Linked DNA regions of Caenorhabditis elegans. The protein of the gene in region 1 purifies or fractionates together with the protein of each later gene. This does not show direct contact. Each region holds a gene or a part of one and is shown in the gene's direction. Other genes may lie near its edges.

Evidence for each region.
Region 2: the proteins of C30G12.2 (region 1) and F48E8.3 fractionate together in Caenorhabditis elegans (co-fractionation; one large-scale study listed by BioGRID). This does not show direct contact.
Region 3: the proteins of C30G12.2 (region 1) and try-14 fractionate together in Caenorhabditis elegans (co-fractionation; one large-scale study listed by BioGRID). This does not show direct contact.
Region 4: the proteins of C30G12.2 (region 1) and uroc-1 fractionate together in Caenorhabditis elegans (co-fractionation; one large-scale study listed by BioGRID). This does not show direct contact.

The regions. Positions count from the first base shown.
Region 1 is NC_003280.10:7,288,130-7,292,351, forward strand, and holds C30G12.2 (DeHydrogenases, Short chain), read left to right. Parts: upstream 1-2,296; coding exon 2,297-2,881; intron 2,882-3,344; coding exon 3,345-3,590; downstream 3,591-4,222. Other genes in the region: C30G12.6 (uncharacterized protein), read right to left, coding at 4,146-4,222.
Region 2 is NC_003281.10:5,459,647-5,465,295, forward strand, and holds F48E8.3 (fumarate reductase (NADH)), read left to right. Parts: upstream 1-1,732; 5' UTR 1,733-1,769; coding exon 1,770-1,916; intron 1,917-2,322; coding exon 2,323-3,247; intron 3,248-3,605; coding exon 3,606-3,730; intron 3,731-4,113; coding exon 4,114-4,398; 3' UTR 4,399-4,736; downstream 4,737-5,649. Other genes in the region: F48E8.2 (E2F-associated phosphoprotein), read left to right, coding at 4,752-4,912.
Region 3 is NC_003284.9:7,493,117-7,497,917, reverse strand, and holds try-14 (Peptidase S1 domain-containing protein), read left to right. Parts: upstream 1-2,326; 5' UTR 2,327-2,353; coding exon 2,354-2,452; intron 2,453-2,497; coding exon 2,498-2,604; intron 2,605-2,888; coding exon 2,889-3,015; intron 3,016-3,067; coding exon 3,068-3,212; intron 3,213-3,263; coding exon 3,264-3,379; intron 3,380-3,465; coding exon 3,466-3,558; intron 3,559-3,603; coding exon 3,604-3,657; intron 3,658-3,885; coding exon 3,886-3,984; 3' UTR 3,985-4,194; downstream 4,195-4,801. Other genes in the region: uggt-1 (UDP-Glucose Glycoprotein glucosylTransferase), read left to right, coding at 1-380, 429-947, 1,000-1,744, 1,822-1,989.
Region 4 is NC_003282.8:16,536,482-16,544,774, reverse strand, and holds the start of uroc-1 (putative urocanate hydratase), read left to right. Parts: upstream 1-2,025; 5' UTR 2,026-2,068; intron 2,069-2,407; exon of another isoform or gene 2,408-2,428; intron 2,429-2,451; 5' UTR 2,452-2,452; coding exon 2,453-2,578; intron 2,579-2,856; exon of another isoform or gene 2,857-2,881; intron 2,882-3,321; exon of another isoform or gene 3,322-3,348; intron 3,349-3,378; coding exon 3,379-3,650; intron 3,651-3,696; coding exon 3,697-3,838; intron 3,839-3,884; coding exon 3,885-4,013; intron 4,014-4,017; exon of another isoform or gene 4,018-4,038; intron 4,039-4,049; exon of another isoform or gene 4,050-4,070; intron 4,071-4,366; exon of another isoform or gene 4,367-4,387; intron 4,388-4,617; exon of another isoform or gene 4,618-4,638; intron 4,639-5,004; exon of another isoform or gene 5,005-5,025; intron 5,026-5,324; exon of another isoform or gene 5,325-5,345; intron 5,346-5,405; coding exon 5,406-5,698; intron 5,699-5,765; exon of another isoform or gene 5,766-5,786; intron 5,787-5,969; coding exon 5,970-6,311; intron 6,312-6,363; coding exon 6,364-6,485; intron 6,486-6,565; exon of another isoform or gene 6,566-6,586; intron 6,587-6,690; and 11 more.

The DNA.
Region 1 (4,222 bases):
CAGACTGATCATGAACAACTAGGCTACACGAAAATAATCAACAAAAAATGGGCTGATCAACAAGCATGAACTGACTATTGGATACGGGAAGTGGAGGGAAAGAGCACATTTTGATGCTGATTTTCTTAAAAGGTTTTACAGATCAAAAAGGGATGGCAAGCGATGTCTAGAAATTATGAATTTAAAAAATTTAAATGTATAAAGATGTCCATTATAGTTTTGAAAGTTTGCAAGTTTTTTGCAAAAAGATGCTCATATCTGTATTGAATATAGACTATAAATGGGCTTGCACTTTGAACTTGGAAACAGTTGTTCTGAACATTTTTCAGTTAATTTTTGATACTAATTTAGAGGTCAGCAAAATTGCTCCAAATGTGCATCTTTTTGCTGGTTGAGATGATTTTTAGGTTGCGTGAGCTAAAATACATTCTTCGTTAGTTAGCTATGTTTCTTCGCCTCCTAAATTCGAATCATTAATTGCTCAAATCCGTAAGTTAGAAATACACAAATTTCTTGAAACTCTTAGATTTTAAAAGTGAGATATATATTCTAAAGTTCTCCTTTTTTCAACCACTCTAACTAACAAATTAAACGTTTCGAAATTTGGTTTTGTCTGAACATTTTTTTAATTATGGCTCATACTGAGTTTTCATGTTTAACAACTTTTTTGTAGACTATAAGGATGTCACCTTTAGAAAAAACATCACATCATAAAATCGAGATTTCTTCTTCTTTACGGTTTTAGAATTATTGACTTTTGTTTTTCTATTTCCATAATTTCATTCAGAAATTTTGCAGTTTAGTCTCCACAAAGTCATTCAAATTCAGCTCAGGATGTTTAGTCAGAGATTCAAATTTTTAGAGAAAATCCGCTGGGGAACTCCGTTCTCGACGTTGGATGAATAAACAAACGACTTCTTCTCTTGTAGCGAAACATTTCGAAATTCAAAGCAGAACGAATTCTGTGTCTCAACACAAAAAGTGACGTGGGGTTTGGAAGAACTAATCGAATAAAGGGTGGACATGATGACTATTCTGTTTATTTGCTTTTTGACTCAAAAAATACACACTGAGAAATGACGGATCAAAACTTGACAGTTCGGAAGATCGGGCAAAAATCAATTTGATTGGATTTTTCACGTGGTGAAACTTTGTATTTAGTTAAATGCAAAGATAGTATGACAGGATATATGATTAGAAAGAGACAAGAATATGAACCAATTACGTCTACAGTATACTAATAGTAAGAAATAGCTACTCGTCACTTATGTAGAACCTTTTGATTTGTGATTTTCTAGTCGTGTGATAATGTCTATTGGTCAAAACATTAATTTACTCCCATGATTTGTAATTTCAGAATGAAGTGACCGCGGTACAATTGAGGCGTTGTCTGGCTGAAATTGGAATTATGATATGAGTTAATGATAACCAGTGATGACAGCTCAAGCAGTCTGGAACAAATAAATAACAACAACGAATTCAAAACCCGATTTTCCCCAAAAATAAAACAAAAAACCCCTAACGTACTTATTGCGTGCAAATCCATTGACAACCTGTGCTCAATGCCTATTTTTTACATTTATGTGCATGAGAGTAGAGTATATGTGTACCATGTTATGAGAAACAAGAAATGTTATCCAAATTTAGTTTTGAAGCTGAAGTTTCCGACAAAGAGCCCGCCAGAGTCTGGTCTTAAAAAATGAGAACGATCGACGTAACAGTCTTATCCCATAATTCTCATGAAAATTTCTGAAGTAGAGTAGAATTTGTAATTTAAAAAATGACAGCAGCCCTTGAATTCACTTGTATCTGTTTTTGTTGTCAATATGGATGATGGAAAATTCATTAACTGAAACAATGTTTTTAGTTGTGCACTCGTTAAAATGATTAATTGTGCACTTTTATCAGAAGCACTCAACTGTAAAGAAGTGCCATTAACATGTCAATTTGTTTTGCGACTGGGAGAAAATACTTGCACTTTTGATAGAAGTTTCATATTCCATGCACTATCAATTGTCAGTTGTTTGATAGTTTAGATTAATAGTTCTATTTGTTCTTTTTTCTGTGTAAAAGAGCATACTTTGGCCTATGCGAAATCAGACATCAGTTTAGTTTAGAGACTTTTTTTCATCCGATTACTATAATGTTAAAGATAAACATTTCTCTTGTCAATCACGACGTATTGAAACTTTCCACATACCAATTTATTTCAGACTATATAAATAGATGATAAACGCATTGGAAAATCAAACTTTTCTATTCATTTTTTGTTCTTCATTATTCTAAGTTCTCAACAATGCCAAACTATGAGCTGAAAGGCAATCTAAAAATGGCTGACGTAGCGGATCCAGAAGTTGAGAGTAGGCCCCAACGATTCCCTAAGAATATTATGATAACTGGAGCTAATCGTGGAATTGGATTCGGACTTGTCAAACATTTTCTGGAATATGATGGAATTGAACTTCTTATTGCCACGTGCAGAAACCCAGAGAAAGCAGATGAACTGAATGCATTGAAAAATGATAGAAGACTTCATGTAATTGCATTGAATGTAGATGATGATGAATCCATCAAGAAAGTATTCGATGAAGTATCTTCACTTGTATCATCAAATGGACTTAATATGCTTATCAACAATGCTGGAATACTTCTTCCATATGAAGTGGATGGTCCAAAGATCTGTAGAAAAACGATGATGAAACAATTGGAAACTAATTCAGTGTCTGTTGCAATTTTAACTCAAATATTCCTTCCATTGATCAAGACAGCTGCATCAGCTGCAGAAGGAGATGAAGCAAGTATTGATCGAGCATCTATTATTAACATTTCATCTACAATGGCATCAATTGAAATGAACAATGGATGCTTTGATGGTCCTATGGTATTGTTTTTTTTTTTTCATTTACAGTTATTGCCTGTTTCAATTACTCCTATGTCCAAATGTATAGTGAAACCTTTCAGAAATTTTTTCATTATTATTTTTTAGTTAACAGTCAAGAAATGACGGTACTTACTTTTCAAATATAAGTAGGAAATCAACGAAAAATTTTTTCTCTCGTCCATTTTCATCCTAATAGATCAATTTTTTCTAATTTTTGCATTTAACGTAAACGTTAACTGTAAAGTTTGAAAAATCCAAAATTGCAAAACCATTAGTTTCAAAATACCAAAAATATTCAAAAATCTATTTCAGTATCAAATTTACTTCAAATAAATTAGATATTTGACCAATCAGCGACTAGGGTGGGCGTGGTTAACGGCGCTCATTGGTCGGCACCATTCTGCTCAGCGCGCGAATTTAAAATGTACAAAAACCAAAAATTGACCGATCCATAATTTTTCAGACCGCATACCGAATGAGTAAATCTGCTCTGAATGCATTTGCGCGTCAATCATTCATGGAACTATCTAAATATCATATTCTTGTCACTTCATTCTGTCCAGGATGGGTCCGTACTGATATGGGAGGTGATAATGCTGATTTGGATGTCAATGAATCAACTAAAACACTTTCTGCAAACATTCTTCGACTCGATAATCGTAACAATGGGTTGTACTTTGACAGATTCTTGCATCCAATTCCAAACTGATATCATTTCTAAAAAGCACATTTTGTTCTTCGTATTTGCATCCGATATCGGTGATAATCTTGAATTTGTTTTGTTTAAGATGCAAAAGCTAGAATTTTTTCTTGTAATTCGGAGAATTTAATTTTGCTTCCACACCAAAAAACTCCAGTTTATCCCCCCCCCCCCCCCCCCCATTGACGTAATACCCGCCTTTTGTTGTGAGCAATAAAATAAAGAGATCTTTGAAGCTGCAAAAATGATGTTTTCATCTTTTGTGACCTTAAACTCTAAAGAGCACTATGTTGTCCACATTGATCAGACTGATTTAGGAATGTCTGGAATTACGTTGTGATGATGTCAGTCAACAACTCTGAATGAATGAAGAACGCCCGACAATGGATGGGATTATGGGATTTACACATCAAGCGTGGGAAAAGCAGGAATTATAGATTTAGGGTATACTTTGCAAATGCAGAAATATGTGTTATTAAAATTTGAATAAAAAGGGATTTTATGAAATTAAACAAGATCTTATTTTACATGATTAAGGCAACAAAATGAAAATTATTATACATGCTATAACTCAAATGAATCTTCTAGATCGTCGCTGTCTTCAATCTCGGTTTTGATATTCTGATCCTCCTCGACGTTCA
Region 2 (5,649 bases), on another chromosome or scaffold:
ATATAAAAAATCCACAAAATGATACGGCCACCCTTGGTTTTCGTTTTCTTTTTTCGTTTTCTTTGCAATTTTTTTTGCTAAACGTTAAGTTTCATGTTCGTTTGTGTTTTTACAGCTATGGGTCGTGGAATAACTTCAACTGACTACGAAAAAGGACAAATTGTGCCAAATTATCTCAAGGCTTCTCGAATCGTCAGATTTTTCGTGATTTGAAACTTTCGAGAGATATGATCACTCGATATGCTTCCAATCCTGCCGCTTATTGCACAAAAAAGTCTTCTGGTCGCACACCTTTTCTTTCTGTCAGACCCAAAAAAAAAACCGTTCGTCGAGCATCCAATTGAACAGTGACTTGCTCGAAAAGTAGGAGCGAGATGAACCTGGCAGTGTCTGTTGAGGCCGTACGACATGTTCTTTTGAAGTCTCAGTTTAACAAAAGACGAAAATTAAGAAAGGCTCCATTCATTACCAAAAAACCGCCAAAACCGTATTCAGTTTGCTAAAATCAGTCAGGGAACTAACTGAAGACAAGTGAGGATTACGGTATAATCATTCAAGCCCAGTTTTTGGTTTCAGTTCATCTTTTCTTTTCTCAAATCGTGCCACTAATCACGGTAGTAATCTGGTTCATTACAGTTAAACTTTTTCTCGTCACTGAAGATGAACTGAAACCAAAAACTGGGCTTGAATGATTATACCGTAATCCTCACTTGTCTTCAGTTAGTTCCCTGACTGATTTTAGCAAACTGAATACGGTTTTGGCGGTTTTTTGGTAATGAATGGAGCCTTTCTTAATTTTCGTCTTTTGTTAAACTGAGACTTCAAAAGGACATGTCGTACGGCCTCAACAGACACTGCCAGGTTCATCTCGCTCCTACTTTTCGAGCAAGTCACTGTTCAATTGGATGCTCGACGAACGGTTTTTTTTTTGGGTCTGACAGAAAGAAAAGGTGTGCGACCAGAAGACTTTTTTGTGCAATAAGCGGCAGGATTGGAAGCATATCGAGTGATCATATCTCTCGAAAGTTTCCAAATCACGAAAAATCTGACGATTCGAGAAGCCTTGAGATAATTTGGCACAATTTGTCCTTTTTCGCAGTCAGTTGAAGTTATTCCACGACCCATAACTGTAAAAACACAAACGAACATGAAACTTAACGTTTAGCAAAAAAAATTGCAAAGAAAACGAAAAAAGAAAACGAAAACCAAGGGTGGCCGTATCATTTTGTGGATTTTTTAAATATGGTTTTTCATGAAAAAATGGTTTATCTTTTTTACAAACGGTTCAGGTATATTTCCAATACTTATCTGAAAGTAAGTTAGTACAGCGAACATTTTCACAAGAAACTATGTTTTGCTATCTCAACCCAGTTTTGAGTTATACCAAAATTTGGGGTGGCCGTATCATTATGTGGAGCACTGTAGTATCGATACTACTAGATCAAAAGTAAATGTGAATAGTTACGGTTATGAATTATTGATTGTTTTTCCCCATCACTTTTTTTTCATGCTTCCCAGATGCCTTATCCATGTGAATATATTTATTCAAAAATCAGCTTTAATTTATTTTATATTTTCCCTTTTTTTCGGTTTTTCTCCTATGTTAGACATTCCATAAATAATGGGTTTTTAAAAAATAATTCTGTCTAATTTTTTCGGCGGTTTTAACCAATTTTCTATCATTTTCTATAATTTCCCTTTGTGTCCGTTGTTGAAATTTCCCCATTGACAGACATTTGATGATTCGGGTGCTCATTTCGCTTACAGTTATGGCTTCTGTGCTTCATGCTGAGCCAACTGTCGTTGTTGTTGGAGGTGGGCTCGCCGGGCTGTCTGCTTCACTGGATATTATCAATGGAGGTGGACGTGTGATTTTGGTAGAGGGAGAGGGAAATACTGGTGGAAATTCAGCGAAGGTAAGATCTTGCGAATTTTTGAAAAAAATCTATTTAACTTCTGGAAATATCGATTGTTAAAATTTATTTTCTCGCATTTTTTTGTTCCAAATTTCTGAAAAAGTTATTTATTTTACTATTAGTTGCAAATTGTGAAAAAAAATAATATTCTGTTTTTTTTCCTTTAAAACTGAAACGTCTCTGAAAAAATATGATAAATTAAAAAATTTCGATTGTAAGAAATTTTCAAATTTAAAAACAGTTAAATCGTGTGAAAAAGCTGGAAATAAAAAAAAAGAGTAACAAATTCTCGTTCTGAAAAATTTCAAAATTAAGTATGCCAAATTACAGTAAAATGTTTTAGTAAGTCTAGGTGATTTTTAAAAAAAGTGTCCAATATCCTCACTTCTTGAAAAAAATATTCCAGGCATCCAGCGGAATCAACGGTGCTGGAACCGAAACTCAGGAGAAACTGGGAATCAAAGATTCGCCGGAACTTCTTGTCAAGGACACTCTGAGTGCAGGAGACTCTGAAAATGACAAGAAACTTGTGGAAATTCTGGCTGCTAATTCAGCAGATGCTGTTGAATTTCTGCGTGGAGTTGAAGTGGATCTGACTGATGTGAATCTATGTGGTGGGCATTCTGTACCACGTACTCATTGGATTCCATCTCCAAAGGAAGGACGACCAATACCAGCTGGTTTCGAAATTATGAAGAGATTGAGAACAAGGCTTAATGAGAAGCAATCGGAGAATCCAGAAGCCTTCAAGCTTTTGACTCAGACTAAAATGGTTGGAATTTTGAGAGAAAATGGAAAAGTATCGGGAATCGAGATTGTAACATCAGCTTCTGGAGAGAAATCAAAGATCATCGGAGACGCTGTAATCCTTGCAACCGGTGGATTCTCTGCTGATGAAACTTTGCTCAAGGAATTTGGAGCTGAAATATTCGGATTCCCAACAACAAATGGAGCATTCGCTAAAGGAGATGGTGTGAAAATTGCGAGAGCTCTTGGAGCAAAGATTATTGGAATGGAAAATATTCAGATTCATCCTACAGCGTTTGTAGATCCAAAAGATCCATCAGCAGGAACAAAGTTCCTGGCGGCTGAGGCTATTCGTGGAAAAGGAGCTCTGCTTATTAACTCAAAGGGACAAAGATTTGGAAATGAGTTGGGAAGACGCGATTATTTAACTGGAAAGATTCTTGAGCTCGCTGAGCCAATTGAAGAGAGTTTCCAAGGAGGATCTGCTGGAAGAAATGCGGCGATTATGATTATGAATGAAGCAAATGTTGAGGCTTTTGGCAGACCTGCTTTCAATTTTTATTCGATTGTTAAGAAATTCTTTGGTAGGTTTTTTTCTGTGAAAAAGTTGGAAAACATTTTTTAAATTAGTTGTTTGTTATTTGAAAAATCCCAAACAATTTTTTTCAAATTTCATTTTTTTTTTCGAAATCCATTAACACTTCTCGAGAATAAGTTCGACAAAATCTTCGTATTAAAAATTCCCAGTTTAAAGATTTTTTTGTCGAAAATTTTATCAGCTTCCTTTTTTTTGGAGTTTAAAAGCATTTTAAATCCAAAACTAATTTTTTTTTCCGGAATTTCTGAAATTTTTAAAAATTCCCTTTTTCAAATTAATTTTTTTAATTTTTAGTTTTATATTATGAAAATTGTATTATTGCTCTGAAATCTGATTTTTTTCAGCGAAATACGAGAACTCCGCGGAGCTTGCAAAGGCTTTGGGTATCGACGAATCAGCTATTAAAACCACTTTGGAGGAATATCAGAAGAGTTTTGATGGAAAATCTGAAGATCCTTTCGGCAAAAAGGTATTCAAATATTTTTAATTTTAAAATTCTTGAAAAAATGACTAAGAATTCTGAAAAGTTGATCAAAATTGCATTTACTTTTAAAACAGACTTTATAAAATCAGAAAAGTGAAAGAAAAACTAAAATTCATAGATTTAGGAAAAATTGTGCTGAAATTGTATTATTAGAAACTTTGAGTAAAACGTTGAAAAATATCGAGAAAATCTTTCCCCGAATATTTGACGATCTATTTTCAATTTAAACTTTCCCAAGCCTAAATTTTTTTTCAAAATTAAAAAAATATCGTTCAGCAAAAAAAAATATCGAAACTGTAAAAACAAAGTTATTTTTGCATCGGAATTAGCCGAAAAATACCGAAACTGTAATAATTTCCCATTTCCAGGTGTTCCCAGTGTCTGCAATCTCTCCGACTGAGCCAATCTACGCAGCAATCGTCGTCCCAGCAATCCACTACACCATGGGTGGCCTGAAAATCGACGAGGCCACCCGCGTCATCGATGAGCATGGCAAGCCAATTGTCGGCCTTTTTGCCGCTGGAGAAGTCACTGGCGGAGTTCATGGTTCCAATCGATTGGCTGGAAATTCCCTGCTTGAATGTGTGGTGTTTGGCAGAATTGCTGGAAAATCTGCGGCTCAATCTGCTGCGGAGACTCGTACCGAGCTCTAATTCGAATATTTTTACAGAAAAAACTCAGTTTTGTGGCTCAATTCTACAGTATAATTCAGAAATTTTCAGTTAAAAAAAACATTTTTTCGCGATCCGGGATTCCCGGACCCCTGTAGATAATGATTCATTTACTAGTTCCAACCAACTTTATATGTTTTTATTATATCTACTACTCTATTCAGCATTTTTATTTTTCTTGTGATTTGCATCTTTATGGGTTCTTCTACACATATATTTATTTCTCATTTTCTCTTCATTTTCACACTCTCTCGTATTTATCGTGTTTCCTTCTTCGTATTGTGGTGTGTTTTTGGGTAATAAATGTGTTTTATTTTCAGAAGAAGCGGCAGACGATGATGATCAACGATGACGATGAGACGTTCGATGACCAATATCCAGCAGATGAAGTGACCGCAGCAACGATGCGTAGACTTGCTTTTGAAAAAATGGATGATGATTATTATCTCGGTGGAGCTGTTGGGGATGAAGTTTTTGATTCAGAGGATGATGTGAGGTAAATACACTGGAAAATGGGAGAAATTGTAATCAATGCCAAAAAAAGGAAATGCACAGCGTAAAAATTTTGGAAAAAAAAACTATTTTTCACTAAAATCACATGAATTTCTAAGTTTCCACCTTTTAAAAAAATCAGACACCGCTCGCAGGTTACGGTAGCAGTAATCCCCGACGCAGCTGAAATTCTTGCTACAGTACTCCATGCAGAAGTATTCAAAGAAAACGACCTTTTTTGGTTACTGTAGCTAAATTTTAATATGTTGGTTCAATAGAAAATCATTTTTGAGAAATATCCCTACTTCATCGAAAAATCAAGTTTTATTTCAAAACTATCCCGCTGATCAAACAAACACAGTATTCCTAGGCGAATCTAGTCCGATTCGGGAAATGTTTCTGACAAATTCAGTTGAGAACATTGTCCTTTGATATCATTCATGTAATATATTTCTAATCTAAGATAAACTTTGTCGAAAAAGTGCGTCAGAGATAAGTGAAGAAATAATGAAGATATAAGAGAGGGAAGTCCTCATTCATCAATTCTGAAGCCTATTGATAGGCGTTTAAAGAACACTCCCAATACACACGCGAGATCAAAAAACCAATACACAAAAACACTTGTACTTTTATAGAAAATTTCCGATTTGATATTTTGAATTTCCCGCCAAAACCGTCGTGTCAATTTACGAGCCCGGTTTTCTTTCTACTTCTAATTTTTTTTTGGAATTTCCGTGTTCC
Region 3 (4,801 bases), on another chromosome or scaffold:
TGGGAGTTTGACGTTTCCAACGGAGTTGGATCAAACACGGTTTTCTCGATTGCTGGACACGTTGGAAAGCACGCTTCTTCACAGAAACGCACATGGGTTAGCATCCAAGGAGATGAGCACAGTGTTGTCACACTTCCAGCTGATGAAATGGATCGACCAGCTGTTGACGTTCTTGCCGTTGTTGATCCACTCACTATGGAAGCACAAAAACTCGGATCGATTCTCCATTTGATTAAAAAGGTTACAAACTGCGAAATCAAAATTGTGATGAATCCAAAAGATAAGCACTCTGAACTTCCGTTGAAGAGATTCTACAGATACGCTGCTGCTTCTGAATTGAGTTTCGATCACAATGGAAACTTGAACACAAATGTTGTCAGGTGAATACTTTCTATTTAATAAAACCAATTTCAATTTCACAATTTCAGGTTCGATAATCTTCCCAGTAAGCAACTTCTGACACTTTCGCTGCAAGCTCCCGACTCATGGATAGTGGAAGCCGTTTCTGCCAAGTATGATTTGGATAACATCAAGATGGAACAAGCCAACGGAGATGTCACTGCCGAGTTTGCACTCCAACACTTACTTCTCGATGGACAGTGTTTCGACGAAGTTAGTGGTCAACCACCACGCGGTCTGCAGTTCACTTTGGGAACGGACAAGAACCCTAAACAATTTGATACAATCGTTATGGCTAATTTAGGATATTTCCAACTTAAAGCAAATCCTGGTGCTTGGAAACTAGAGATCCGTGATGGAAAATCTAGTGAGATTTACAAGATTGGATCGCATGTTGGAGCGGAGAAGATTGGGGAGGATGTGCTTCAAGTTGTTATTGACTCATTCACTGGTAAATCAGTAAGAGTTCGTGTTGAAAAACGTGAAGGCATGGAGGAGAGAAATCTTCTTTCCGACGATGAAGAAGGTGTTTGGAGCAGTCTTAGCAAGTAAGCATTTTGTTTAAACTCTTTTGAAATAATCTCATAATGTTATTTTCAGCTTGGTGAGCAGCAAAGAAAAAACCCAGGAAGTGATCAATGTATTTTCTCTCGCATCCGGTCACTTGTACGAACGGTTCATGAGAATCATGATTGTCTCGGTCATGAAGAACACGAAGCATCCAGTTAAATTCTGGCTTCTCAAGAACTACCTGTCGCCACAATTCAAAGAGACACTTCCAACTCTTGCCAAGCACTATGGTTTCGAGTATGAACTGATCGAGTACAAGTGGCCAAGGTGGCTTCACCAGCAGAAGGAGAAACAACGTATTATGTGGGGATTCAAGATTCTTTTCCTTGATGTACTCTTCCCACTTGATGTTCAAAAGGTGATCTTTGTGGACGCTGACCAGGTGGTGCGTGCTGATTTGATGGAGCTGATGAAGTTTGATCTTGGAAATGCGCCATACGGATATGTGCCATTCTGTGAAAGTAGAAAGGAGATGGACGGATTCCGATTCTGGAAGCAAGGATATTGGGCGAACCATCTCGCTGGGAGAAGATATCACATTAGTGCTCTCTACGTTATTGATCTTCAAAAGTTCCGTCAAATCGCTGCCGGAGATCGTCTTCGTGGACAATATCAAGGACTATCTGGCGATCCAAACAGTCTGGCTAACTTGGATCAAGACTTGCCAAATAACATGATCCATCAGGTTAAGATCAAATCGCTTCCACAAGAGTGGCTTTGGTGTGAGACTTGGTGCGATGATGGAAGCAAGAAGAATGCAAAGACTATTGACTTGGTAAGTTGATTGAACACAACTGAAATGCTGTGCCATTGATCTGTTTTAAATTTCCGTGAACAATTAACAATTTTCAGTGCAACAACCCGCTCACAAAAGAGCCAAAGCTCGACTCAGCCGCCAGAATTATTGGAGAATGGAAAACGTATGATGACGAAATCCGGGAAGTCATTTCTGGACATTCTTCTGATAACCCTTCGGATAATGTCATTTCTGAAAATGATGACTCTCACACGGAACTTTAAATTAATCTTTTCATATGCCAAGTTTACCCGTTATTTATTGAAAATGTTTCCAATCACCATTATGATATTCAAAACTCTGGGTATATTTTTTTCCAAATCAGTCGATTCGCTTTTTCTGCTATTTATTTTTTAGCTTTTGACTATGAGAGCTTTCAAAATTTCATTTTCAAATATTGTCAAACTTGTGATGAATCTTTGAAACATTTTTTTGCCTCTCTCTATCCAATAAATATTTTCTTTTTCTTGATGTGTGGGTGTATTAAAGAATGCATTTGCTTGATTTTTCTGAAAGCGGATATTACAACAATATCAATGCGATGCTCGTCGGGTCAAATCCTCATTCGAATCATTTGATCGAAAGAAGATGTTTCGAGCGGTCATCGTTTCCTCTCTACTTGCATTCGTGTTTTCAATGTACATTGCGGACCCGGCAAAATGGGAACGCCATCAGTACTTGGTGAAGGTAAGACTTGCTCAACTCGCTTCGAATTTTATGTTTTATGTTCAGGTACTCACTAAGGATACCAAACTGAAGAATATCTCAACTTGCACGGGAACTCTTTTGTCTCCATCCGTTGTGCTAACCAGCTCGAAATGTTTCCCAGACACCAGAAAGTATGGTTTCAAATTTTTAAATATTCCCGTAGCAAAATAAGAAGCTTACGAACGAACATAGCGCATTATAGTCTCTTACATTTTACACTTTTTCTGCTCTGAATTCGACTACGCAAAAGATTCGTGAATTGGCTTGTTGTGCGGAATGTGCTGACAATTTTCGATTGAAAACTTAGACGAAACTATGCCAGAGATAGTTTATAGAAATATATGTATAGCAACTGTTGGTTTAGAAGAAACGCTGAAATGGATTTTTATTTGAAGGCAATTTAATATTTATTTAGGAACCTTATTGCACAAGCTATTATCAAAAAGAAGGATTCCTCTGCTACCATGAACAAAGCAATGCTTGCTGTGAAAATTGACGGCGACTTGGCTCTGATGAAAATCGATGCGGTTAATGAAGATCATGTAAAAAAGACTCTAGTATTTGCAACTCTTATTAGAGAAATTATTTTTATAGTTTTGCGATAAGGAGCCACACCCACCAAGAGTTGCACGGCTCAACTTCAAACCAAGCTTGACTGATGCTACTTACCGTACAATTGTGCCAAGGGATCTTCAAGATTCCAAATGTAGAGTGATTGGATTTGAAACTACGGAAGATGGTTCGTAACTACAAAACTATGTAGCTACTAAATAAGTTATTATATTTTTAGTGGAAGACTTCGCTACTTCACACAAAGTCCAAGTATTGGATCTTGATGTTCACGCTGACACAGAAAATCTCATGTTCTCAGAAGTTAACAGTAACTCTACAGGTCGTGTTTGCTGGGTAAGCGTTTTTGTTGTTTTTTGGAAATACACACTTTCAAACTTTGCATTACTTAGTTTTTATAAAAAGTAATTGTTCAAATTCAGGATGATATAGGAGCACCACTGGAATGTGTTCTGGATGTAGAAAACAATAAATATGTTCAAGTAGGAATTGTTTCTGGTCTCTACGGGCGTGAGGTAGGCTTATCGCTTATTTTGTCTTTAAACTTATGATTTTTATAGATGGACAAGGAAGACAACAGCACAATGGTGGTTGTCAACTGCTCAGAAGTTCAGGTAAAATCAACGAGCAATTATTCTGAATACATTACGTAATAGAAATTCTTTATAAAAAACCGCATTTTGTAGTGTTGAGAATCTTATCAGACAACAAAATACGCCGGTGATTGATTTCTCATCTTTTGGACTTTCGGGAGGAAATATGAGATTAAAAGAAACGGGGGGCAAGGGGCAAAGTAAATAATCTTCTCCATTATGTGGATTTCCAATATTATCAATTTCCAGACCATGCAATTTGTTGTCTTTAGCGACAATACATTTGTCCATGCTATTGAGAATGTGGACAAGGCTAGCGTTTTTGAAGCACAGGACAAATGCTTCTAATTTAAATTCCACTTTTTCATTCTTCATTCCCTTTGAAATAAATGTTTTTATGATGCAATAAACACTTGTTGGTCCCTTATAACGTATTGATTTTCGTGTGCACATTTTGTGTTTGCTCTGTACTTCTATTCTTACGTTTGCATCTTTCATTCTATCCTTTGGTTTCAATTAAAATTGTTGCAAAAACCTAAATGAACATCGGTCTTTTTCAAGAATCTTTTAGTGTAATAATTGTGTTTGAAAATCAATCAGATGTTTGTTGCAGAAAAAATGAAAAAGAAACATTCTATTTTTTTGAAACAACGAACTTCTCATTACTTCGAATGTTTTATATTTCGGTACTTGTGTAGTACATACCTAGCCCAAAAATGTTAACCATTTTGAAAATGTGTCCGTGACCCTTTGTGTTCATATTATCCTCGGGATCAGTGTTTTTTGAGCATGGAAATACAAATCAATTTCAGTTTTTAATTAAATAATTGTTTTATAAAGAAATGAACGGAAAATGTATTGCAAAATGTTTTTGAACCTGGTATACTTCACAATTACCAAAATTTTACCCAAAAAACTAAGTAAACGTAGAAAATAAATAAGTGTTTAGCTTATTCTAATTAATGAGTTGTCTGTTCAAAAATTCTTTGAAGCCGTGCGTTTTGATGTCTGCTCTTTTGAACTCTATGCTACAACTATACACGTTCTGTGTTGCCATAGAAAATGAATTTCCCATTGGTTTCGCCCATTTCCTCAGCTTTTTCTTTCAGTATTTTGTAGTTAAAAGGCTTATTTAAGTTGTTTCTTTTTCATTGAAAATTCACTT
Region 4 (8,293 bases), on another chromosome or scaffold:
TTGCCGTAATGAACTAAACGGAAAAAGTCTTAAAAACTTTTATAAAAGCTAGTTGAAACCTTAAAAAACGGTGCAAGAATTGAAAAAAAAAACTAATTTCATAGTTAAGATAGAAGTCGGGTTAGCAACCGAACAAAAAAAAGAAATTTCTTGTACATAAGCTGAAACGGTAATTTAATTTTTTTTTATTTTTAGGATGTTCCCGATGAAACATAATTTAGTGGAGCTCCGTCATGTTCTGGTAGTCCAGCAACATACCTAAAGTATTTTTTGTATTGTTTTTTGTTTTTGGACGAATTTTAATTTTCAGTCGGGGAGTTTAAAACAAAATTCGTAGTTTTTTTTTTTGGTTCTTTTACTAAGATTTTTACTAAATCAAAAACAAATGCCATTTTTATAAAAACTAATTGAAACTGTCAAATTGTAAAAATCTGTTTTTTTTTTCAAACATTGTGATTTAATTACAAACTTGCAGTGCCGTTTACATTCCATATTTGGATTGGATTAGAATTGGATCTTCCATAATAGGTAGGCGCGGTTTCAGGGACCTGACGCCTGCCTCGAATCGCATTTTTACGTTTTTTTCTCATTTCAATAATTTTGTTGAAAATCAAATTAAGATATGAAAAAACAAATAGTTCGTGTATGTTTTAGAATAAGGCGCGTATTGAGGCAAGAGGCAGGCGGAGATCGCCTTAAGGTCAGGCAGGTGGGAATTTGAACGCCTTCATGGAAACCTTAGTTTTTGTAATTAACAAGACATTTTGTAATTTACAGCAAATATCAGAAAAAGATTAATGAGAAATAAGAATGTTCACTAGTACATAGCAGCTAGTTGAAACTGCGATTTTATTTTATAGTCTCACGTTCAATTTGAGCCAAATTTGCGATTCTGAGCTTGAAGTAAAAATTGTGCAGGTGGTTTGGGTATACCGTGAGACTATCCAATAAATTTACAGTTTCAGCGTGTTGTACATAAGAACACGCTGAAACTGTAATTTAATTGGATAGTCTCACGGTCAATTTGACCCGTGTTTCGGGTGTTCCCGTAAGAAACATAATTTTCTAGAGCTCTATCTTGTACTGGAGCTCCTCAGAATCCTGGTGGTCCAGCAGCACACCTGGAGGACTAAAGTGCTGAACTGTTCTCTTAAATGTTCTGTTTTTTTTCGGGCCAAAAACCAAAAGAAAACTATATTTCAAAAAAAAAACTTTTTTATTTTTATTTTTGATCAAAAACTTTTTTTGGTAAGACCTTCCTCCTGTATTTTTTTTCAATTTCAAAAATTCTGCAAGAATTCAAAATGTTGTAATTTTAGTCGCTTCAGTGAGGAAATATAAAACTGCATCTACATAGCAACTAGCTGAAACTGTAATTTTTTATTTCATAGCCTCACGGTTAATTTCCACTAAATTCGCGTTAAATCCAATGTTCTATTTTATAATTTTTTATGGATGCTTTAAGCAAAATTTGGTATTTCTTTTCGAAATTCTTCGGACCAAAAAACAAACAAAAAACAGAAAAAACTGTTTTTCCAAAGATTTTAATTCGTTTTACAGTTTTAACTTACAAATGTGATGTAGGTAGTAAGCAACAAATAAATTGCAGTTTTATAACAACTAGTTGAAACGGTCAAATTTATAAGCTCTGAAAGTTGTGTTTCCAATAAAACTCTTAATATATATCACCGATTTATAACAACTAGCGGAAACAGTAACTAAAAAATTAATTTTATAAATAATTTTAAAGTCCCAATGTTCTATTTTCGAATTCTACCCAATCGCGAGATTCTGCATTCAGATCTTATCATCTTTCTCTTCCAAATACACACACACACACCTTGAAACTAACCAATAAAAATGCAATCATCCGACCGTTTCGTCGTCGTCAAGGATCGTAACCTGGAACCAGAAGACGAGAATCATCAAAACAGAGAATTTTATGGCGGTGATCTATTGGGCGGGAAGGAACATACCACGTGGGAGAAGGGGGAGGAGAAGTCGAACATTCACGAGAAATCTTTCATTGCTGATCAGAATAAGTTCGGTTTTGTTGGCAAATTTTGAGGTTAGTTTTTTGATGAGTGCCGAAATTTTACCGAAATTTGGAATTCGGCAATTGTCAATTTTATGAACTATACCAATAAATTGTATTAAAACTTCTAGAATGCTCTAGAAAAATCTGGAAACTACTAGAATTTTCTAGAACAAAACTGGAAACTTCTAGAAATTTCCAGAGAAATCTATAAACTTCTGTAATTTTCTAGAAAAATGTGGGAACTTTAAGAATTTTTTAGAAAAATCTGGTAACTTCTAGAATTTTCTAGAAATTTTTTTTTAAATTTTATTTTTTAAAAATTACTGTTTCATCACATTGAGAAAATGTTTTTACTGTTGATTTTTCTAATTTCGTATACTGTTGACTCGGTTTGTGAAGACTCAATTTTCCAGCATGAACATCCCATCTCTCTTCGTCGACCCATTCTCTCCGCTCCTCGAGCATCCAACGGAGCAACGTGCCAAGAATGTGGCTCACGCACCAAAGCGTCCGTGTAATCTTACACAGACAGAGAAAATGGTAATAAATTTATCTTTGAAAAGATAAAAAAAATGTACTGTTTCATTAAAAACGTTTAGGCACTTGACTTGGAATTTTTTCTTTTCAAATGAATTTTTTGAAACTGCAAAAACAGTTTCATTGTTTCATTGAGCGCTTTAAAGAAGACTGTGAAACATAATCTTTGACAAGTTGGCTGAAAATGAGCCTAAACTAACAAATTTTTTAGAAAAATTTGGCTAAACTCTGAAATTTTTTGCCTAGTTTTTAATAAAATTAGCTTTTTTTTGTTGCATCAAGAAGTTTAAATGCTACACTGACTAACTAATAGAACTTTTTACAAATTGAAATGCAATATTTGGAACAGTGAACATTTTTACCTTTAATTTTTCAAATCTACTCCTAATTATGGTAAACTATTTGCAATGAGATCAATGTTATAATTTATTGTTCCGACATCTCCCGGGTTGCACAGTGTTCTCTGTGCTCGGCGCAATTTGGGAGATACCAATTAATTGAATGAAGTTGTTGTGCCAATTCTAGTTCAGAAAAAAGTAAGAGAAGACTGTAACAAAATTTACAATTTTTTTGCAATTTTGGAGCAGTTTTTGAAGTCGGTAGGCTATGTAGTTTTCGAGATCAAGAACAATCAAGAAGATCAAGAATCAGATCAAATTTTAATTTAGGAGCTGAAAAGCTGTTGGCTATTAGTTACAAAAGTCTGTTTCACTTACTTGATAAAATACAAGTGGAATTCCAAAATTTATTGTTTCGAACTTCAATGCAGGTCCCAACCAGCTTCAACTATAAAATTCTTCCAGCTCGCCGTCCGCAATGCTCTCCGCTACATTCCAAAAGAGCATCACGTCCTTCTAGCCACCGAGTTCGCTGAAGAGCTCAACACCTATGGACACATCTATGGGTATCGGTTCATGCCAAACTTTGATCTATTCGCGCCGCCCGTCTCGGAGATCGGAGCTCATTGCGAACAAGCATCGGCTATCATTTTGATGATTCTAAACAATTTGGACAAGCGGGTTGCCCAGTTTCCACAGGAATTGGTGACTTATGGAGGAAATGGTCAAGTTTTTAGGTTAGCATGGGAATCTTTCTGAAATGCTTGAGAAATGATATTTCAGCAATTGGATCCAATTCCGTCTGGTTCTTCGTTACCTCTACACAATGACTGACCATCAAACTTTGGTGCTCTATTCCGGACACCCATTGGGCCTATTTCCATCAACCCCGGACTCGCCAAGAATGACTGTTACTAATGGAATGGTAGGCCTTTGGAAACTAGGATGCTTCGTACATTTTGACATTTCAGATGATCCCGAGCTACTCGACAAAGGAGCTGTACGACAAGTATTTTGCATTAGGAGTGACGCAGTACGGACAAATGACTGCTGGAAGTTTCTGTTATATTGGACCACAGGGAATTGTACACGGGACTACGGTAAGCCGTTAAATGGAGTTTGGCATTAAAACACCGTATTACCGTCAAATTTAATGAACACACTAAAACAGTCAAATTTATTTTGGAAAATGGGCAAAGCAGAAGGTTTTCAGTATACAACGGTTTTAGATGGAATTTCAAAGGCAAAAATTCAAGGATTTCAAGATTTTTGTTTTTTTTTCTGAATATGATTCTTGTCATTTATATAATCCAAACTGCACCAATGTAGTAGAGAAGTGACTCAAAGAAAACATGTTATTTCTAATAACTAACTCAGCCCTAAAATATACGGACACTGTGAAACATTAAATTTTTGTAAATTTTATTTTTTTTTTTAAATAGTTATATAATGAACCAAAGCTGAAGTTTTGGCATTAAACACCTTATTACTGCCAGAATATATGAACACACTGAAACAGTAAATTTTATTCTGGGATATGGGCTACACAGAAGGTTTTCAGTATACAACGGTTTCAGATAGTATTTGAATGATTTTTGTTAAGTTTTTGTGTATTATTCTAGTTATTTTATAATCCAAACTCCACCAAAGTAGTAGAGAAGTGGCGTCAAGAAAACTTGATATATTGCTTTAATTTATAGCGGTGTTCTCTTGAAAACCTTCCTAATAGCTAACTCTCTAAGTCCTAAAATATGTAGACACAATGAAACAATAAATTTCTGAAATTTGTAATTTTTTTTTCAAGAGTTACATAATGAACCAAAGCTGATAATATTTTGTCCCACTGAAAAAATTTACTTACTTCAACTAACCACAGTATTTATTAAAGAGTGATAATTTAACAAAAATTTAGTTCCAGACACTTAGAAGATGACAAAATTTTTGATTTTAGCTGAAAATGAGACCTTTTTTATCAGAACTTTGAACCGCCATAACTTTTTTTTTTGAGAAATTTTCAAAATGTCTCGTTACGAAATTCAGTAGTTTTTGGGGAATCTTGGGTCGGAAAAAGCAAAATCTCAGATTTCGGTACTCCACCTTAAATAGAGTCGAATAGCTATCTTACAAAGCCCTAAAATATGTAGAAACTGTGAAAAAATAAATTTTTGTAAATTTTATTTTTATTTTTTCAGTAGTTACATAATGAACCAGAACTGATAACATTTTTTTTTAATTTGAATTTCGTAATTTTCTTAAGGTTTTTCAAAATTGACTTATTAGAAGCAGAAAGTTGAAAGTCTTTTCACTTTATAATATTTTAAAGAAATCTAAATGATTCGAGACCAGATGCAACAGATTACAGCTTTTCTACCCATATAGAAAAATAGTGACGTCACTATATGAGTTTTTCTCGATCTATTCTTCTTGTCCGATTAATTTCATCACAACTCTCCTGAATTTCTGAACCCCCTGAAACAGTAAAAATTCTCCAGATCACAGTCCTCAACGCTGGTCGTCGTATGGGACTGGATTCCCTTGCTGGTAAGGTTTTCGTAACTGCAGGACTTGGAGGAATGAGTGGAGCTCAACCAAAAGCAGCTAAGATTGCTGGATGTATTGGAGTTATTGCGGAAATTAGTGATACTGCATTGTTGAAACGTCATCAACAGGGATGGTTGGATGTATATTCGAAGGATCTTGAGGAAATTGTGAATTGGATTAAAGAGTACAGAGAGAAAAAAGAGGCAATTAGTATTGGATATTTGGGGAATGTTGTTGACTTGTGGTGAGTTTTAGAAAATTTTACTGTTTCAGAAAGTTGTTAAATTTTTTTATGAAAGTGTGAAAGGCGATCTACGGAGCAAGAGGGAAAATAATTAAAGGAAACGAGAAAAGCGGAAAAAATTGTAATACAAATAATATATCTCATAGTTTCGGAACCAAGATTTTTTTTAAATTACAGAATTTTTTACAAAGATTTTTCACAATTAATAAACTTGGTAAAACATTATTCACAAAAATTCTAGACAAAAAACTATGAGTTTTCAAAATTCCAGGGAACGGCTCGCCGAGGAACCGGAATGTCTTGTAGAACTGGGAAGTGACCAAACTTCTCTCCACAATCCATTCCTTGGAGGTTTTTACCCTGCTGGACTCACTTTTGAACAATCCAATCAAATGATGACTTCTGATCCTGTAAAATTCAAAAAACTTGTTCAAAACTCTTTAATCCGCCAAATCGCCGCCATCGACAAGATTGCTGCAAAGGGAATGTACTTCTGGGATTACGGTAATGCTTTCCTTTTGGAATGCCAGAGAGCTGGAGCCAATTTGCTCAGAGAGGATGCTCAGGATGATAAATCGTTTAGATATCCAAGTTATATGCAGGATATTATGGGGTAATAATTATTTGAAAAGAGTACAATTTAAATAAAATAAATTCTGTTTCAGAGACATCTTTTCAATGGGATTTGGACCATTCCGATGGGTTTGTACTTCTGGAAAGCCGGAAGATTTGAGATTGACTGATCAGACAGCATGCAAGATTATTGATGAGTTGAAGGATACTGATGGTGAGTGCTTTTATGTTGTAACAAAAAAATCGACTGTTTCACTATGGCTATATGTATGTTCACTATTTTGAGAAATTTGATGGGTTCAGTGTGTGTATCTTTGAAATTTAGTACTAATCTCATAAAATTGAGCATTTGTTGGCGAGAAATCATATATATGCTGTTTCATATTGTCCATAAAACTGCCGACGAATTTTGACTTTAATTTTTAATATTTGTTAGGAAATTTAGGGATGTGAAGCTGTTGAAAAAAAAAAAGAAAAACGAATAGCCAGTGTAATATTCTTGAAACCGTAAATAACTACTAAATAAAATAGCGTACTGTTTCGAGAAGTTTATATAATTTTCGCTTTTTGAAAGAGGTTATTCCGGAAATATTGCTAAAAAAAAGCAGAAAACTTCTACAATTTCGCATAGTCATTAAAGTATGTTCGATTATTTTATTTTATTAATTTTGCTGAATTAAAAAATAACATATTAAAGGTGGAGTACCGAAATTAGTGACTCTGTTTTCTTAGACCAAAATGAGTCCAAACCTACCGAATTTTGTAATGAGACGTTCTGAAAATTTCTCAAAAAAAAAAGTTATGACGGTTCAAAGTTTTAGAAAATAAGGCCCATTTTCAGCTAAAATCAAAATTTTTTCCAACTTCTCGGTGTCGCAACGTCTGGAATTGAATTTTCATTTATTCATCACTTTTTAATAAATATTGTGGTCATTGATTGGGCGTTTATTCGTTGATTTAACTACATTTATGGTCTTTGGGGCACAAATAAAAGTTACATTTTGTGCCTCACTGACCATAAATGTACTTAAATCAACGAATAAACGCCCAATCAAAGGCCACATTATTTATTAAAAAGAGATGAATAAATAAAAATTCAATTCCAAACGTTGCAACACCGAGAAATTAGATAAAATTTCGATTTTAGCTGAAAATGGGCCTTATTTTCTAAAACTTTGAACCTTCATAACTTTTTTTAAAGAAATTTTCAGAACGTCTCATCACAAAATTCGGTAGTTTTGGGCTCATTTTGTTCTAAAAAAACAGAGTCTCTAATTTCGGTACTCCACCTTTAAGAGTAGAAACATGTAGTTTTAGGGGAACTCATCAGGTTATTTATCAAATTTATGCTTGGAAAAGTTGAAAGTCTACCGAAAATGTCTTTTCCGCTGAAAAAAATTAACATCGTTCCCGGAAACCCGGGATATGTCGTACCATGATGAACAATTCACAAAGTGTCGACCGCAAAGCAAGTATACCAAAACGAGAGATAGGAGATGCGGTTTGAAAACAAGTTGAATTTGAGAATTTTTCACTGTTTCCAACTTTGCATTTTAATTTGTAACGTATTGTATTAGACAATTTGTAAAAAATTATGTTTTTTATTATCTTCAAAATACTATGATCCTGAATGAATTATTTGAAATGGGTACCCTTAACTTTAACAAATATTCGCTCTTAAAAATTCTGAGAAAATTTGCAAAAAATCACCACGTCTTCTTCTTGAATGGGTACCACTGAAAATTAATTGGGTTGTTATTTTTATTCCGAAATATACTCACACTGCTGCCAAGTTTTGAAACTTTCTGTTTCTAGCAGAGACATTGATTTTTTCATTTTGAGAACCAAAAATCGAATCATTATTTTTTGCTAGTTTAATAAGGCTGAGCAAATCAAACCACCAACTCCAAATTTCAAAGCACATTTATCATGTTTCATAGACTCTGTTAAACCAACGTTTCAGTCCCCGAATACGTGAAACAGCAATATTTGGACAACAAGAAATGGATAGAAGAAGCCGAG